4 linked regions of the Callithrix jacchus genome follow. The main gene of each other region encodes a partner of the protein of the gene in region 3 in a complex. Links are inferred from orthologs where the notes say so. Each region holds a gene or a part of one and is shown on either strand. Other genes may lie near its edges.

What was found.
Region 1: DDX39B (region 3) and SARNP share a complex: the UniProt entries of both Homo sapiens proteins name them as parts of the transcription/export (TREX) complex. The link is inferred for Callithrix jacchus from reciprocal best matches to the Homo sapiens genes DDX39B and SARNP.
Region 2: DDX39B (region 3) and ALYREF share a complex: the UniProt entries of both Homo sapiens proteins name them as parts of the transcription/export (TREX) complex. The link is inferred for Callithrix jacchus from reciprocal best matches to the Homo sapiens genes DDX39B and ALYREF.
Region 4: DDX39B (region 3) and THOC6 share a complex: the UniProt entries of both Homo sapiens proteins name them as parts of the transcription/export (TREX) complex. The link is inferred for Callithrix jacchus from reciprocal best matches to the Homo sapiens genes DDX39B and THOC6.

Annotation. Positions count from the first base shown.
Region 1 is NC_133510.1:63,834,434-63,838,445, reverse strand, and holds the start of SARNP (SAP domain-containing ribonucleoprotein), read right to left. Parts: upstream 2,853-4,012; 5' UTR 2,840-2,852; coding exon of another isoform or gene 2,804-2,839; intron 776-2,803; 5' UTR 730-775; coding exon of another isoform or gene 723-729; exon of another isoform or gene 696-722; intron 1-695. UniProt on the Homo sapiens protein: Binds both single-stranded and double-stranded DNA with higher affinity for the single-stranded form. Specifically binds to scaffold/matrix attachment region DNA. Also binds single-stranded RNA. Enhances RNA unwinding activity of DDX39A.
Region 2 is NC_133506.1:137,488,133-137,492,367, reverse strand, and holds the start of ALYREF (THO complex subunit 4), read left to right. Parts: upstream 1-1,383; 5' UTR 1,384-1,389; coding exon 1,390-1,647; intron 1,648-2,133; coding exon 2,134-2,265; intron 2,266-3,637; coding exon 3,638-3,785; intron 3,786-4,235. Other genes in the region: anaphase-promoting complex subunit 11, read right to left, coding at 52-160. UniProt on the Homo sapiens protein: Functions as an mRNA export adapter; component of the transcription/export (TREX) complex which is thought to couple mRNA transcription, processing and nuclear export, and specifically associates with spliced mRNA and not with unspliced pre-mRNA.
Region 3 is NC_133505.1:39,022,630-39,026,187, reverse strand, and holds part of DDX39B (spliceosome RNA helicase DDX39B), read left to right. Parts: intron 1-175; coding exon 176-303; intron 304-593; coding exon 594-686; intron 687-2,985; coding exon 2,986-3,169; intron 3,170-3,219; exon of another isoform or gene 3,220-3,295; intron 3,296-3,558. UniProt on the Homo sapiens protein: Involved in nuclear export of spliced and unspliced mRNA. Component of the TREX complex which is thought to couple mRNA transcription, processing and nuclear export, and specifically associates with spliced mRNA and not with unspliced pre-mRNA.
Region 4 is NC_133513.1:5,170,872-5,175,012, reverse strand, and holds the start of THOC6 (THO complex subunit 6), read right to left. Parts: upstream 2,853-4,141; 5' UTR 2,571-2,852; coding exon 2,532-2,570; intron 1,547-2,531; exon of another isoform or gene 1,528-1,546; coding exon of another isoform or gene 1,489-1,527; intron 1,373-1,488; coding exon 1,257-1,372; intron 1,156-1,256; coding exon 1,091-1,155; intron 1,017-1,090; coding exon 913-1,016; intron 829-912; coding exon 791-828; intron 714-790; coding exon 665-713; intron 563-664; coding exon 491-562; intron 404-490; coding exon 301-403; intron 212-300; coding exon 162-211; intron 68-161; coding exon 5-67; intron 1-4. Other genes in the region: HCFC1R1 (host cell factor C1 regulator 1), read left to right, coding at 2,954-3,048, 3,364-3,420, 3,534-3,662, 3,895-4,030. UniProt on the Homo sapiens protein: Component of the THO subcomplex of the TREX complex which is thought to couple mRNA transcription, processing and nuclear export, and which specifically associates with spliced mRNA and not with unspliced pre-mRNA.

The DNA.
Region 1 (4,012 bases), on a different chromosome or scaffold from region 3:
AAAATGTTGGGATGACAGGTGTCAGTCACTGCTCTGAAACTACAAGTGTGCGCCACCATGCCCAGCTAATTTTTTAATATTTTGTAGAGACAGGGTCTCACTATGTTGCCTAAGCTAGTCTCAAACTCCTGGCCTCAGCCTCCCAAAGTGCTGGGATTACAAGTATGGATCACTGCACCCAGCCAAGATTTTTTTTTAAAGGCAATAAAACCTCAAGTCAACCTAGAAGTCAGGATCATTACATCAAGATCACCAGTGGAACCAAACATAAACGTCCTAAATATCAGAATCAAAGGCATGAGTTCTTTTTTTCTTTTTGAGACAGAGTCTCACTGTCCGCCAGGCTGGAGAGCAGTGGCACAATCCAGGCTCATTGCAACCTCCACCCCGGGGCTCATGCGATTCTTGTGCCTCAGCCTTCCCAGTAGCTGGAACTACAGACACGCACTACCATGCCTGGCTAATTTTTGCATTTTGAGTAGAGGTGGGGTTTCGCCATGTTGCCCAGGCTGGTCTCCAACTCCTGGCCTCAAGCAATCCACCCATCTCAGTCTCCCAAAGTGCTAGGATTATAGGCATGAGCCACCATGCCTGGTCGAAGGCATGAGTTCTTAACCAGAGGTCCATGGACTCCTCAGGGCTACAAGGTAGTTTTATGAAGCCCCTCAAACTGCATGCAAAGTACGTGTACATGCCTTTTTCTGGCGAGAGAGGGTCCATACCTTTCATCAGAGTTTCAAAGATATCTGTGACCTCCAAAAGGTTAAGAAGTGCTCTAGAGAAAAAGCAAAGACAAGCAAATGTGATTAAAGAGTGAGTCCTTTTTAGGCTGTCAGGAGTGCCTAATGTTTTCTTAGACTGCAACACTGAAATCAGGTCAGAGGACTTTATGTAAAAGTTACTTATCCAGTCAAATACAAGTTTAATATAGATCTGACAAACACAGATTTGATGGAAGGAGGAACTCCATAAACAAACACAATTATAAAAACAAGTAAGTCATGGGGCAGCTGGTGACTTACTCCAGGGATTTCAAAAATAGGATAAATAGTGTGGTGGCTCATGCCTGTAATCCCAGAACTTCGGGAGGCCAAGGTGGGCATATCACAAGGTCAGGAGTTCGACACCAGCCTGGCCAATATGGTGAAACCCCATCTCACTAAAAATATAAAAATTAGCCAGGCATAGTAGCACATGCCTGTAGTCCCAGCCGCTCAGGAGGCTGAGGCAGGAGAATCGCTTGAACCTGGGAGGTGGAGGGAGCAGTGAGCTGAGACTCCACCACTGCACTCTCCAGCCTGGGCTACACAGTGAGACTTTGTCTCAAAAAAAAAAAAAAAAAAAAGACAAATAGAAAGAAAATATTAAGTCTTCTATGCATAGTTCCTTTTTGTCTCATTCAAAAATTCCTTTTCTATGTTTTATAATGGTACAGAAGCATACAATTTCTATAAGTACAGTATATATACACCAAGTGGAGATTATTGCTCAATTTTTCTTTTACTCATCACAATAATTATCAGGAAACCACTGATAGTCTATGCATTTCAGTACCACCAAGTTAACAATAACTTGAGAATAACACAAAAACCCACTAAACAGAGTTTAGAATCCAAGAGTAAGAAAAATATCAGCTTTCACAGAAAGACTAATAGGGGTCAACTAATAAGTGACTAAACAAAGGTCCTCTCCCTACCCTTAAGCTTTCTTAACAACAAAAACAAACAAAAAAACACTTCAAGCTTTAAAGGATCACTTTTCAGTTTCAGCTGTATCAGCCTGGTTTGTCCAAAACATCCAATAGGAAATCTACCTGTGAAACCACAGAGAATTAATCAAGATTAGTTTACCCTAAAAGAAAATACTCTTTGAAATTTTCTTTTTAATATATTTTTTAACTTTTTTATCTCTCTTAGTTGTTTGCAATCTACCTTAAATAAATACTCTCTCTTTCAGGAAAATAATAATCCAAGTATGAGAAAACTACCAAGATTCTCATAAGACAATTTAAAATAGCTTCTGTGATTCAGTGTCACCCAATGGTAAAACACCAGGAGATGCAGAGCCCATTGAGATATGAAATGGAACAGAGATAATCTTAACCTTGGAACTGTTTTTCCCAAATACTGCAGGTATGAATTCTCTCTGGTGGTAGGAGACGGTGTGTGAGGAAGGCTGGCAAGTGGAGAACCGCGTGAGAGAACTGGAAAACTTTTAAATCTGAGGTGTCTGTACTTCTATCTCAAGGCCTCCTCAACCCCAGGCTTCTAAGGTGAGGCCTTTCCCTGGTTTCAAAATTCTCCCTGGTGGCGTAATCCCACCTAGAAAAGGGGAGTGTCTGGGATCTATTCAAATAGCGACACACAAAAATGCCACCATCTGCTAATATAATAGGCGAGTCTCAGCTTCAGAAGACAGACTGGAAACATAATTCCAGGGAAGAAAAAGGGATCCTGGGTCCGACGTGGGGCAAAGAGGAGGGACCAACTGACGTAATGCAGACCAGAAGAGCAACGAGGAGTATAACAGGTAGAAGGCACTTACAACCTGGTGGACAAGGGTGACGGACGATACAAGGATGAAGGGAACAGAAATAACAAAAAAATATAGCAGTAAAACCGTGAGGAGAAATGGAAAATTAGGGAAGGCGTAGTGTGGAAGGGTGGCACAAAAGAGCTACGGCGGGAGCCAAGAAACAAAGTAGAAAAGGCTGCAAGGAGAACACGTAGGAGAAGACGCAAGTCACTGTGCAGAATTCAGTTCCCAGAAAAGTCCAACTGAGCCCTTCCCCGATTTACGGTACCTTCAGCTTATGGAGCTCCACCGTCTCGGTCGCCATCTTGTTACCCCTCACTCCGCTAAGCCCCCACCCGCTGCCTCCGCCTCCAGGAGCTCCCGCCTTAGGCGTAGAGATGCAAGGCTGACCAATCGTTGCCACTCTTGCTCCCACTACATACCATCAGCTCTTCCCATTGGTCAATAGCTGACGTCCCTCATGTCTCTCGGCAGCTTTCCCCACCTCTTTCAAAAGGGGGGACAGAGAGAGGGGCGGGCACTTATCTTACGAACGACAGAAATGGCAACCAATTGTGCGTCTGCATCACATATCACCAACCGCTGATTATGTTCCTCCAATAGGGAAGGGGCAGACGGAGAGGAGTCACTTCCTGGAGACTTCAGATGTGGTAGCCGGCGCCTCGCCCATAAGCAGACAGGGATCTGAAGCTGGCAGGTAGGGGCCGCGAGGACTAGAAAGGTTGCTAAGGAAATATGGTGGGAGGCGAAAGGGGCGCCGAGGAAGCGGTGACTTAAATGCTGAGAAACGAATGCTGAAGGGAGCCCTGAAAAAAACCGACGAACATGAGAGGAGGAAGCTGGGAGGGAATGGGGCGGGCTTAAGGAACTGGCGGGTGGCTGGGGCGGGCAAGAGCCGCTTCCTAACCAGACATCATCAGCTTTAGAGCTACCACAATTTTAAAGATCCGAGTTCAGTTGATCACTGCCGCCCCTGGAGTCAGAGCTAAGGCTCCATCTCTCGAAACGTTGAGCTCAGGTTCCTTCCTAACCCAGTCCAGAAGGCGTGGGCAAGTTGTTGTCGTGCCCCACGCTTGAGAGAAGCAGTGGGGATGCTGACTGCTGACATGCCACGGAGGTGAGACAGGGTGGACAAGCCCCAGAGAACAGGTTGGGACTAGAGCTTTACTCTGTCATCCCTTCTTAGTGGTTCTTTGATGATTCCATGACTTTCTCCTGGAATTCTGGGTGTGCGTGACCTCTTCATGGTTAACTTCTTCAGGAAAGTGAGATTTCCTGTTTCCCTTGCTCCCTGAAGTGAGTGCCCCAAGCCTACGCATACACCTTCATGTTACAGTTGAAACGTAAAGATCAGTGAGAAAATGACTATGTCTCTAAAATGTAGTGAGGATTCTTCTTGCCTTTTAAAGTTTTCCCCAAGTCTTCAGTTTTTATTTTCTGCGTGATGGGGAAGTTCTTCATTCCCAATAGAGTTCAG
Region 2 (4,235 bases), on a different chromosome or scaffold from region 3:
CAGGAGCCACTGAGGCTAGTCCAGCAGGCAGACAGCGGAAGGGACACTCACAGTCGGGGCAGCAGCCATTAAACGCCATCCTGCAGATGCCACAGTTCTCATCGTTGGCCACCCAGAGCCAAGTGGCCACGCCATTCCAGCACTTAATCTTCACCTTCATGGCAGCAGAGCCTGTACCCGAAGGGAAGAGGATGACAGGCTTAATTTAGTCTGCAGAACTAGAAGATTTAGGCACCAAAATAGGAATAAGCCTGGCACAGTGTAGTCTCAGCTACTCAAGGGGCCAAGGCAGGAGATCACTCCAGCCCAGGAATTCGAACCCAGCCTAGGAACATCGTAAGCCGTTTCTATTTTACTTTTCTTTTGTTTTTGAGACGGAGTCTTGCTCTGTCGTGTAGGCTAGAGTACAAGGGCGCACTCTTGGCTCACTGCAATCTCCGCCTCCCGGGTTCAAGCCGGCCTCCCAAAGTGCTGGGATTACAGACATGAGTCATCGCGCCCGGCCCGACTAATTTTTTTTTTTTAAGAGACAGTGTCTCACTATGTTGCCCGGCTGGCCTCACTGAGCTCAAGCAATCCTTCCACCTCGGCCTCCCAAGCAGCTGGGATTACAAGTGTGCAATGGCACACCCGACTTTCGACTTTTTTTTTTTAGATATGGGGGTCTCACTACGTTGCCCCAGCTGGTCTCAAACTCCTAGGGTGAAGCGATCCTCTTGCCTCGGCCTCCCAAAAAGTTTGGAGCACAGGCGTGAGCCCCGCGCCGGGCCCGTACCAAAACTTGTAAAGGATATGACTAGCAAATGTGAGATTGGAGACTTCGAGGTTGCAGGTGGAGACCAAAAACCCCGGCTCAAAAACCAAAAAGCAACCCGCAGCAGGTCTGCACCGGCTGCAGCCCGCTGAGGCCACTCCCGCAGGATCCCGCCCCGAGCCAAGCGCACAGCCCTCGGGCGGGCGCAGAAACAAGGACCCCCGCAGGTTCCCGGACACCCGCCGCGCCCGCAGCGCCCCCAGCCCTAGCAGAAGGGCGGGGCAGGCGGGGAGGGAGGGGAGCGCATGCCCCACTCCCAACGACCGCCGCCCAACCCCCTGCGGCCTCGCACCTTCGCCAACCTAATCACGCACGGCTCTGCCCGCCCTTCCGTTGGCAGCGCTGACGTCCGCGCGGGAAGGTATAAAAACGACCACAGTCACGGCCCGGCTCCCTCAGCAGCGCCCGCCGAGTCCCGCGCGGCAGTGCGCACGCGCTTCCCCGTCTCTCCCCGTCCCGCGCGCGCTGCGGTCCGCAGGCGGCCAATCACTAGCCGCTCCGAGGCCGTAGCACCGGAAGGCCTCACGCGGCGCCGGAGGTGACGTGCTGGCGTGCTGACGCGCGGGCTCGAGCCGATGCCCGATTCCGCGCCCGCCATGGCCGACAAAATGGACATGTCTCTGGACGACATCATTAAACTGAACCGGAGCCAGCGAGGAGGCCGCGGCGGGGGCCGGGGCCGCGGCCGGGTCGGCTCCCAAGGCGGCCGCGGCGGCGGGGCGCAGGCCGCCGCGCGAGTGAATCGAGGCGGCGGGCCTATCCGGACCCGGCCGGCCATCGCCCGCGGCGCGGCCGGCGGAGGCGGGAGGAACCGACCGGCGCCCTACAGCAGGGTGAGTGTGGAGGCCGGCCGCACCGGAGAGGGCAAGCCGGGGAGGCTGGCGGCGAAGGCCGAGCCCGGCTGGCTGATAGGGCTGGTGGAGCGGCCGCCCGGAGGTCCGGAGGGTGCGTGTGGGAGGGCGCATAGGGGGTGGTGGGCGGGGGCGAGGTCGTTCATTCCGGGCCCGGCCCGGAGGCTGAGACCCTTTTCAACCCTTTGTTCCGGCCGCCGGGACCTCGTGGCGGCGTGAGCGGAGGGGTAGCTGAGCGCGGCAACAGCGGCGGGAAGTTAGTGGAAGGGAACTGAAGTTGTGCTGCCGCGGTGGGACCGTGCGGCCTCGTACCTGGGGCTGCTTTAGCGGCCGGAGGGAGCGCTGGCGGCCTCATCTCCGCCGGATCCTCTCAGGCCGGGAAGAGGAAGGGTCCGGGGTCGCCGCGAGGACTGGGAAAGCCCTGGACTGAGACTCACAGGTCTGCTGTTGTTGTGGTTTTTCCTTCAGCCAAAACAGCTTCCTGACAAGTGGCAGCACGATCTTTTCGACAGTGGCTTCGGGGGTGGTGCCGGCGTGGAGACGGGTGGGAAACTGCTGGTGTCCAATCTGGATTTTGGAGTGTCAGATGCCGATATTCAGGTAAGAGACTAAGGCTTCTCGGTGACCCGTTCGCCCTGCACAGGACGGATCATATTTTGGGGGATGTGGCCCTGAGTCCCCTTCCCGCCTTGGCAAAGGGAGCCCTCCCAGCTCTGAAGGGCTGCAGGACAGACCTAGCGCCAGTAAAGCCAGGGTCAGTCCGCAGGCAGGTGCGAGCCTAGCCTAGCCTGAGGATCTGCTGCTCTTAGTCTGAATATGGGTTCTGTGAGTGAAAATCCTCTGCCAGGGCTTCCAGTTTCTAACAGAGAAAAAGACTGATCAAATGTGAGTGGTTCTTGGCTGTTAGACTCAGCCCACTTGTGCTTTAAATTTAGTGCCTGTTTTAGTGGGTTAATGTGACAAAAAGAATCTTCCTTATGTACCTTGTAAAGCAGAGGGAGCCTGTGTGTTTTTCTAGCTCTGTTTGACTTGAGTATTGTCTTAAAAAGACCTTGTAAATTGTGGTTTTATCACTCCCCGCCCCCATGTCCTGTCAGCGACTTGATTCTCTAACTCATTAAAGCTTTTTTTTAAAAAAAAAAAAAAAAAAAAGAAAGAAAGAAAAATTGAATCCCAACGGCATTTAAAGTTGTTTTCTGGTTAAGAAGTGGCTTTTTGGGAATCAGTTTTGGAGATGGCTGGGCAGGGTTCAGTTGTCCACAGCCTAGCCATTTGCCTTGGGAGGACAGAGCAGGGCCAGTGAGCACTCACAGTGTCTCAACACTTTTTTTAAGGTGGTTTCTAGCATCCACTGGAAACCGCTTTTGGTGAACTCCACTTCCCGCTGTGTGCCTGCGGCCGGAGTATCCCCACACTCTGGGTTCCCTCTCCAACTCCCAGCCTGCCTGAGGTCAGGGCAGTTTCCATGGCAGCGCTTGACTTCAGACTTTGCCGCAGGCTTGAGTAGGAGGAGAGGGAAAGGTGAGCCAGAATCTGCCTTTGGGGGAGGGGCTGGGGTCAGGGTTCCCAAGTCAACAGGCCCTTCAAGCTGGTCTGATACCGGACCAGTTCCCTTGCTCTTGATCTTGGCCTTTACAGTTTCTTGGAACAGCCCTTGGGTGTGTTGTAAATTTTCCTTTGTTGAAGAGGATAGTGGCTTAATTTTGTGCCCCTTTCTAGTGGGCTTTGCGACTTCCTCTACCTGCATCGTGGTACACCTGTCAGGTCCCCTCAATGGCAGGAGCCCTCAGACCCAGGCGCTCTTGGAAGTTGCTGTCCCTCCTGCCCTGCCCTTCCCTCATTTCCCATTACCACTGCCCTGCCTCCCAGGGAACCACCCCCAAAACAGCTCACGCTTCCAGGGCCTGTCCCTGGGCCACCAGAAGGAGCACAGTTTTGTTGCTCTTCTGACAACTGCTCTTTGCAACTCCAGGAACTCTTTGCTGAATTTGGAACACTGAAAAAGGCAGCTGTGCACTATGACCGCTCTGGCCGCAGCTTAGGAACAGCAGATGTACACTTTGAGCGGAAGGCAGACGCCCTGAAAGCCATGAAGCAGTATAACGGTGTCCCTCTGGATGGTGAGTGTGGGCGGGGGGACCCACGCTGACTGTCGGGCTTGTGGAGTTTGGGGCTGGCACCTGTCCAGGTAGGAATATGGGGTACCCCTGTGGCTGAGGACACTTTGCATTTGCCCCTTTGTCTCTCTCTTCCATCTGCCACCTCTCATGCTGCCCCACACATCTGGACCAACCTCTTGTGAACCCCCATCCAGCAAGCTACATCCCTCCCCTCCTTCAGCTCCTTCCGGAAGATTCACTTCTGTGAAGCCTTCTCAGAACCGCCATAGTACACCTCTGAGTGCGGGGCTGTAGTCGTAAAGACAAAGGTACCGGTTCTTCTTCGTCAGGTCACCCACACCTCTCCACCTACGAGCACCCCAACACCTCAGCAAGCAGCCCACCTAGTCTAGACTGAGAAGGAGTGAGGAGGTGTTGGTGGGGTTGCTTCCTTGCCATTTTGTTCTCCCG
Region 3 (3,558 bases):
GGTGAATGTGGTTGAAGGAGCAGAGAGAGGTAGAAAGTCTGGAAGTTGTCAAGAACCAAGTACATACTAGACTTTGAGAATTGAGTGGTAAGGAATGGGGTTGGCATGATGAAAAAGGTGGTAGAGTTATCTGGAGACTGGAGTCTAATTTATCTTTCCTCCCCCCTTCTTTTAGTCCAGCATGAGTGCATCCCTCAGGCCATTCTGGGAATGGATGTCCTGTGCCAGGCCAAGTCGGGCATGGGAAAGACAGCAGTGTTTGTCTTGGCCACACTGCAACAGCTGGAGCCAGTTACTGGGCAGGTACATTTGGGGAGAGTGCTGGGGAAGGGATTTTGGTTAGGATTATAAGGGAAAGGGGTTTTTGTCCTAGCTACATGATGCTTGCAGAGCCATGAGCACATAACCGCTGTTAGCCTTGACAACCTGACAGCTGTGGGGAATGTTCTGTTGCAAGCATAGAGTTCATGATTTAGGTCACAGAATTAAAGTCATTTATCACTGGCCAGGTATATTTTTGTGACAATCACTTCCCTAGAGGAGATAATGAAGGGCTGTACTTACTGTATGTCTCCATCTACTTCCTGCCTAAGGTGTCTGTGCTGGTGATGTGTCACACTCGGGAGTTGGCTTTTCAGATCAGCAAGGAATATGAGCGCTTTTCTAAATATATGCCCAATGTCAAGGTAAGTCAAGGTAAAGAGACCTGAGAGTGAGGATGTGGCAAGTTGGAGGGATGAGAAACTTAATTTTGGAGAAACTATAGTTTGCCTTGGTTTAACAGAGTGTTAAGATCCTGTATAACAGGAGGATTCATTTCATAAGTGGGCTATGGATGATGCTCAAGACCACCCTTTTCTTACTACTTCATACTGAATTGAATCCTATCAGTTTGATCATTTTGAGGTGTGTGGCAGAGAAAGCTAGAAACTTTAAAAACAGCTCCAGTGGTGAGAATTTTGAGGATTCTGGCCAAGCATGGTGGCTCACTCCTGTAATCTCAGTACTTTGGGAGGCCAAGGTGGGTGGACCACTTGAGGTCAGGAGTCCGAGACCAGTCTGGCCAACACGGTGAAATCCTGTGTATGAAAAATGCAAAAATTAGCCTGGCGTGGTGACATGCACCTGTAGTCCCTCCTACTTGGGAGGCTGAGGTGGGAGAATCCCTGGGAACTGGGAGGCAAAGGTTGCAGTGAGCTGAGATTGTGCCACTGCACTCCAGCCTGGGTGACTTGAGACTTGGTCTCAAAAAAAAAAAAATTTTTTTTGTTTTTAAATTTAAGTTAAGCATTTTTGGCAAGAATGCTGCATAGGTGATGCTGTATCTCCTGTTATGCCACAAATCTGGTTGATCTATCTTTTTTTATTTTATTTTTATTTTATTTCGAGGTGGAGTTCTCTGTTTCTCAGGCTGTGAGTGCAGTGGTGCAATCTCAGCTCACTGCAACCTGTGCCTCCCAGGTTAAAGTGATTCTCCTGCCTCAACCTCCCGAGTAGTTGGGACTACATAGTGCCATCACGCCCAGCTAATTTTTGTATTTTTAGTAGCGACAGGGTTTCACCATGTTGGCCAGGTGGATCTCAAACTCCTGACCTCAAGTGAGCCACCTACCTTGGTCTCCCAAAGTGCTGGGATTACAGGCGTGAGCCATCACGCCTGGCCTCGTTAGAGATTTTAGATTTACGGTGGGATTAGTGTCATGACAGTTTGATTCCATGGTTCTTCTTTTCCCCCTTGAAACTAGAAAGTAGTTTCTGGTGTTACTTGATAGCGTACCAAGGCCCAGATCCCTAAATAACTATTCACCTAATGGATTTAACATGGAGTGATAATATTTAACCTCAAGCAATAATTTCATGGGGTTTGTGTGGAGATTCTGGGTTTATTTAGGATAACTTGATGTTTCGTGTGTTTTTTGTGGTACTTTACACTCATCTGGTGATTTCTTGCTGTTGTTTATTTATTACTATATTACTATTTGAGACAAGAGTCTTGCTCTGTTACCCAGGCTGGAGTGCAGTAGCATGATCTGAGCTTACTGTAACCTCTGCCTCTCGGGTTCAAGTGTTTCTTGCTGCCTCAACCTCCCGAGTAGCGCCCGCCACTGCGCCTGGCTAATTTTTGTATTTTTAGTAGACATGGGGTTTCACCATCTTGGTCAGGCTTATCTTGAACTCCTGACCTCGTGATCCACCCACCTCGACCTCCCAGAGTGTTGGGATTGCAGGCATTAGCCACTGCACCCGGCCTATATTTATTTTTTATTTATTCCTTGAGGTGGAGTCTCCCTCTGTTGCCCAGGCTGGAGTGCAGTGGCTTGATCTCCACTCACTGCAACTTCTGCCTCCCAGGTTCAAGCAATTCTCCTGCCTCAATCTCCTGGGTTATTTTTGTATTTTTAGTAGAGATGGGGTTTCACTGTATTGGCCAGGCTGGTCTTGAACTCCTGGCTTGAAGTGATCCACCTGCCTTGGCCTCCCAAAATGCTAGGATTACAGGTGTGAGCCACCGAGCCCAGCCTTATTTTTATTTTTATTTTTTGAGATGGTGTATCCCTCTTGTCACCCATGCTGGAGTACAGATCGTGGCTCACTGCAACCTCTGCCTCCAGGTTCAAGTGATTCTCGTGCCTCAGCCTCCCAAGTAGCTGGGATTACAAGAATGTGCCACCATACCTGGCTCCTTGATTTTTTAAATGAAGCCTGGCCTCATAAATGAAGGAAGATGGTTAGATTAAGTCAGAAGAACTGAATTCTTGTCCTGACTGTTCTGAGTAGTTCTGTAACTTGAGGCAATCACTTTTGTTATAAACCTCAGTGTTTGGTGGGGCGACATAAAATTTTTAAATTAGGTGACCTCTAAAAGTTTATTGTAGTTTTGAAACATGCTAAAAATTGGTTTAGCTCAAACTGAGAGTGGGAACCCTGGGGGGATTGGACTCTTTCCTTCCTTGTTTTTGAGACTCTTTGCTCTTGGCTTGGCAGGTTGCTGTGTTTTTTGGTGGTCTGTCTATCAAGAAGGATGAAGAGGTGCTGAAGAAGAACTGCCCGCATATCGTCGTGGGGACTCCAGGCCGTATCCTAGCCCTGGCTCGAAATAAGAGCCTCAACCTCAAACACATTAAACACTTTATTTTGGATGAATGCGATAAAATGCTTGAACAGCTCGGTGAGTGGCAGTGCTGGGGCTTGGCTAATGCTGGGGAGTTGTTCTTTGGAGCCAAATGATGTTTATTTGAAACAGGAGCACCTCAGTGTAAGGACGACTCTTATCTATCACCCATGACTGATGGCTCTGGGTTCCCTGGTTGGTTTTTATTCTTTTAAGCACAGTAAGGGGGTCATCTATCATCTTTCTATGATTTCTTTTTAACCTTTGAGAATAGGGGACTTTGATAATTTAGGCATAAGTCGTCACCACCACTACCCTTTCCATTAAATATTTCTGTACTGGGAGTCATAGGGGATATTCTAAACTGAAGGAGAAGACTGTCTACCCTTATGGCATCTCCAGCACAACATACACAGTCAGAATTTATACCTGAATCAGTTTCTAGA
Region 4 (4,141 bases), on a different chromosome or scaffold from region 3:
TCACCATCCAGTCAGAATCAGTTGCCAAACATCCGATCCAGCGCCCATTGTGGGGCCTGGAGCACTCCTGGGAGGGGAAGGGGAGGAGGGAAAGAGGTGAAGTCCTAGAGGGTTAAAGGAGTTTCTGGGAAAGAGGACAATGGCCACGGTCACACCCTCACCTCGTGCTTATAGACCTCGATTGTCTGGACCTCCTTGGCTGTGCGCAAGTCTGCAGGGAAAGAACCCACCCTAAGTAGTGCCCCACGAGCCTCAGCCTCCCTCACTGCCATCTTGCCCTCCAGCCAGCCACCTCCTTACCCCAAAGTCGAACAGCTCCATCCTCACCACCCGACAGCACCTCTGGGCTCCTTTCTCTCAATGCCAGGCAATGGATGTAGTCTGTGTGGCCCCGGAGGACCCGCTGCAGTAGAGGGGCAATGTGAGGAGATCTAGGAAGAGTGCCTCTCCCTGGCCTGGACCTGCTCTAGGGCTCCAAGCCCCTGCTCACCGTGAAGGTCCCAGTTTCAAGGTCCATAGTGTGCAGCTGACAGTCTCCCCCAGCCAGGATGAGAGAATTCTCCTGTGAAGGAGGAGGGTGAGGCAGGAAGTCAGTGTCAAATCAGGAAAGGCAGAGAGTGAAGAATCAAAGTTTGGACCAACAACAGTCACATGGGGCTCAGACCTTGGGGACCAGCAGCAAAGCATTGATCTCAGGCACTTCCAGGCTGGTCCTGGGGGAGGAAAGTCAGGGTAAGTGAGGGAGTGCCTTCACCCCCATGCGCCCTCTATCCACGTGGCCCTGGCTCACCTGTATGGAGGCTGACGGCACCACAGCTCCTTACAGCCCTTCAAAAGGAAAAACATGAGGCGACCTCAAAGGCCCTTTTTGGGTCTGGGTACCCCAGCCCTTGCCCCAGCCTCACTCCTTACCTTCTTGAGCATCTCCACCCAAAGCCAGGCCTTCACCTCCCCATCCCCAGCACTGAGCAGATGTCGATCTGTGGAGACCATGCTGTAGACCGGCCCATCATGGGCTGAAGAGAAATCCGGAAGTAAGTCAGCCGATCCCACCCAAAGCCCCGAAGCCAGACTCCACAGCTAGACCCACCTTGGAAAGTCACCACCGGCTTCTTACTTTCCTCTTTGGCTTCCGAGCTCAAAGCAGCAGACAAGCTGCAGGGGACAATGGAGGGGACCCAGGAGTCAGAAACAGGGGCATCTGTCCCATGAAGACCAAGTGCCAGGGCTAATGGGTGGACGGCAGCAGAGGGTACCTAAAGATGGCGATCTGCCCATAATTGTTGCCAGCTGCCAGAAACTTCCCACACGGTGAGACGCTTTGGGAGAAGATGGTCATATGGAGCCGCTGCAAGGCCTGGAACACCTCTGCCTGCAAGGAAAGACTGGATGAGGCCTGCCTGGGACATCTGAAACCTCCCATCCACAGACTCCTCCCTGCTTCCCCGCTACACCTGCCAGGCCTCCCACTGTCCTGACTTCTCAGACCTCTTTTGCAGCAGCCAGCACCTGCCCATGCAGTCCCATAGGTGGCTCCAAGAAGACACTGAAGAAGGGGAGAGTTGAGGTGTGACGCCTCATGAACCTCTGAGCAAACACCCAAGCCTCTCCTACCAGCTTCCTCAACTTTCAAATGGAGCTCACAGGAGATTGTCACGATTAGATGAGCTAGTGTATAGACAGAGCTTTGCACAAAGCTGTCACTCAGTGCTTAAGCCAGGTGCCATGGCTCAAGCCTGTAATCCCAGCGATCTGGGAGGCTGAGGCGGGAGGATCGCTTGATGCCAGGAGTTCGAGAGCAGCCTGGGAAACATAGTGAGACTCTATCTCTACAAAAAAAAAAAAATTTAAAAATTTGGCCAGGCACGGTGGCTCACACCTGTAATCCCAGCACTTTGGGAGGCCAAGACAGGCAGATTACCTGAGGTCAGGAGTTTGAGACCAGCCTGGCCAACATGGTGAAATCCTGTCTTTACTAAAAACACAAAAATTAGCTGGCCGTGGTGGCACATGCCTGTAGGCCCAGCTACTCTGTAGGCTGAGGCAGGAGAATCGCTTGAACCTGGGAGGCACAAGTTGCAGTGAGCCGAGATCTCACCATTGCACCCCAGCCTGGGGACAGACTCGGTCTCAAAAAAAAAAAAAAAAAAAGTGTTTAAAAAGTGGTTCTGCTCGGCTGGGCGCGCTGGCTCACGCCTGTAATCCTAGCACCTTGGGAGGCAGAGGTGGGTGGATCACCTGAGGTCAGGAGTTCAAGACCAGCCCGATTTAAAAAAAAAAAAAAAAAAAAGTGGCTCTACTACCCCAACATAGAAAAACGTACTGACTTGTAATCCCTATTCTCTGACTTGCGTTAAGCCCCTGAGGCCTTATTGGTTACTTTCCCGCCCCACCCCCCGACCCGGTCATAATCTGAGTCCCACAAACAGCCCTAGCAAAACAGGGCTCGGGGCACTATTCCCTGCCCGCCCTGTCCAAGTCATGCATGGACTACAAACCCCAGAAGGCACCGCGCACCACGTCCGTCTCACCTGACCCAGAGGCACCGCGAGCGGCACAGCTCGCTCCATCTCCAGAACTACAAGTCCCAGAGTGCTCGCGCGCAACGCAATCTCACGATGCCGTACGTTCCTAGAGCGGTTACTCCTCGCGGCGCCCTGCCGCCTTCGGCGCGAAGGTGACTGCTGCGTACTGTACTGAACCCCAGGAGCCGAGGTGAGCACCACGAAAACCCCCGACACTAAGAAGTGACGCCCACCGCAGTTCCGCTAAGCCGATCCCTTCCCCCACCCCGAGGAACAGGCCCGCCTTCCGCCACGCGCCCCACGTCTTCCGCGCCCGCGCAGAACCTCGCAGCTGCGCACGCCTAAAGCCACACCCCTTCGCGTTGGGCCACGCCCTCAGAGACTCCGCCTCCGTCGCCCAGATCCCACCCGCAGGACCCCAAAACCCAATGATCCTGGAGCAGCCCTTGGAGCGAGGCCCGCAGGGTGGGGCCCAGCGCCTCCCGCGGGCCGCCTTGGGGGTGACTCGCGGCCTGGACGCTAGGTGCGTGTAGGGGACCAGGGTGGGCCTGACCAAGGGCCGCAGGAGCTTTGGCTGGGTGCTCAGGGCTGGTCTGCAGATGGACACGGTGTAGGGCGAATCGGCGGGGCTTAGGTGTAAACTGAGACCGGATTGGGTCTTCGGCTCAAGGTCGAGACTTTCGAGGTACGCTGCTGGATGGCCCAGAAGAGAGGGGACAAGCACCACCTGAGACAGGAATGGGCTTGGGGCTCCTGGCTGATGCTGCAGGCTCAGGCGGGCAGATCCTTGGGAAGGGGCCAAGAGGGTGGGGTGCACCAGGCTCTCTTTTTTTCCCAGCTCCCCTCTCCGAGGAGCTGTGCCCCTGAGCACCAAGCGGCGCCTGGAGGAGGAGCAGTGAGTTTGGGGGGCAGGGAGGGACTCCCAACAAGATCTCTGTCACCTCTGGTCCCCAACACGCTGTCTCCTGTCTCAGTTTCCCAGCCTCCCTCTCTTTCATCTCTCCCCAGGGAGCCTCTGCGCAAGCAGTTTTTGTCTGAGGAGAACATGGCCACCCATTTCTCTCAACTCAGCCTGCACAATGATCACCCCTACTGCAGCCCCCCTATGACCTTCCCCCCGGCCCTGCCCCCACTCAGGTAGGCTCCTCCACTGGCCAGGCTTTCTGCAGGATCACAGGCGGTTCTCAGAGCTGACCTCAGGCCCTGCCTCATCGTGCCATTTTTAGCTCTAGCTGACCTCTGGGTTGTTTCCCATCTTGGCTCTTTGGAAAGTGCTGAGAACCCGGGAGCCCCTGGGGACCTGGACCTGGTGGGAGGTGCTCAGTTAGGCCGCCTCAGCCCCCTTGCCGACTATCATTTCCTCTTCTAGGAGCTCTTGCTCTGAGCTGCTTCTCTGGCGATACCCTGGCAGCCTCATCCCTGAAGCCCTCCGGTTGCTGAGGCTGGGGGACATCCCCAGTCCCTCCTACCCTTCGACCCCAGCTGGGGACATAATGGAGCTCTGAGTGCTAGTGGACAGCGCCCCTCCCAGCTTCCTTCGTCCCCACAACAGAAGAGACCAGCGACTCCCGCAAAGGGACAAGGAGCCTCCCTCTCCTCCAGACCAGGCACCAAGA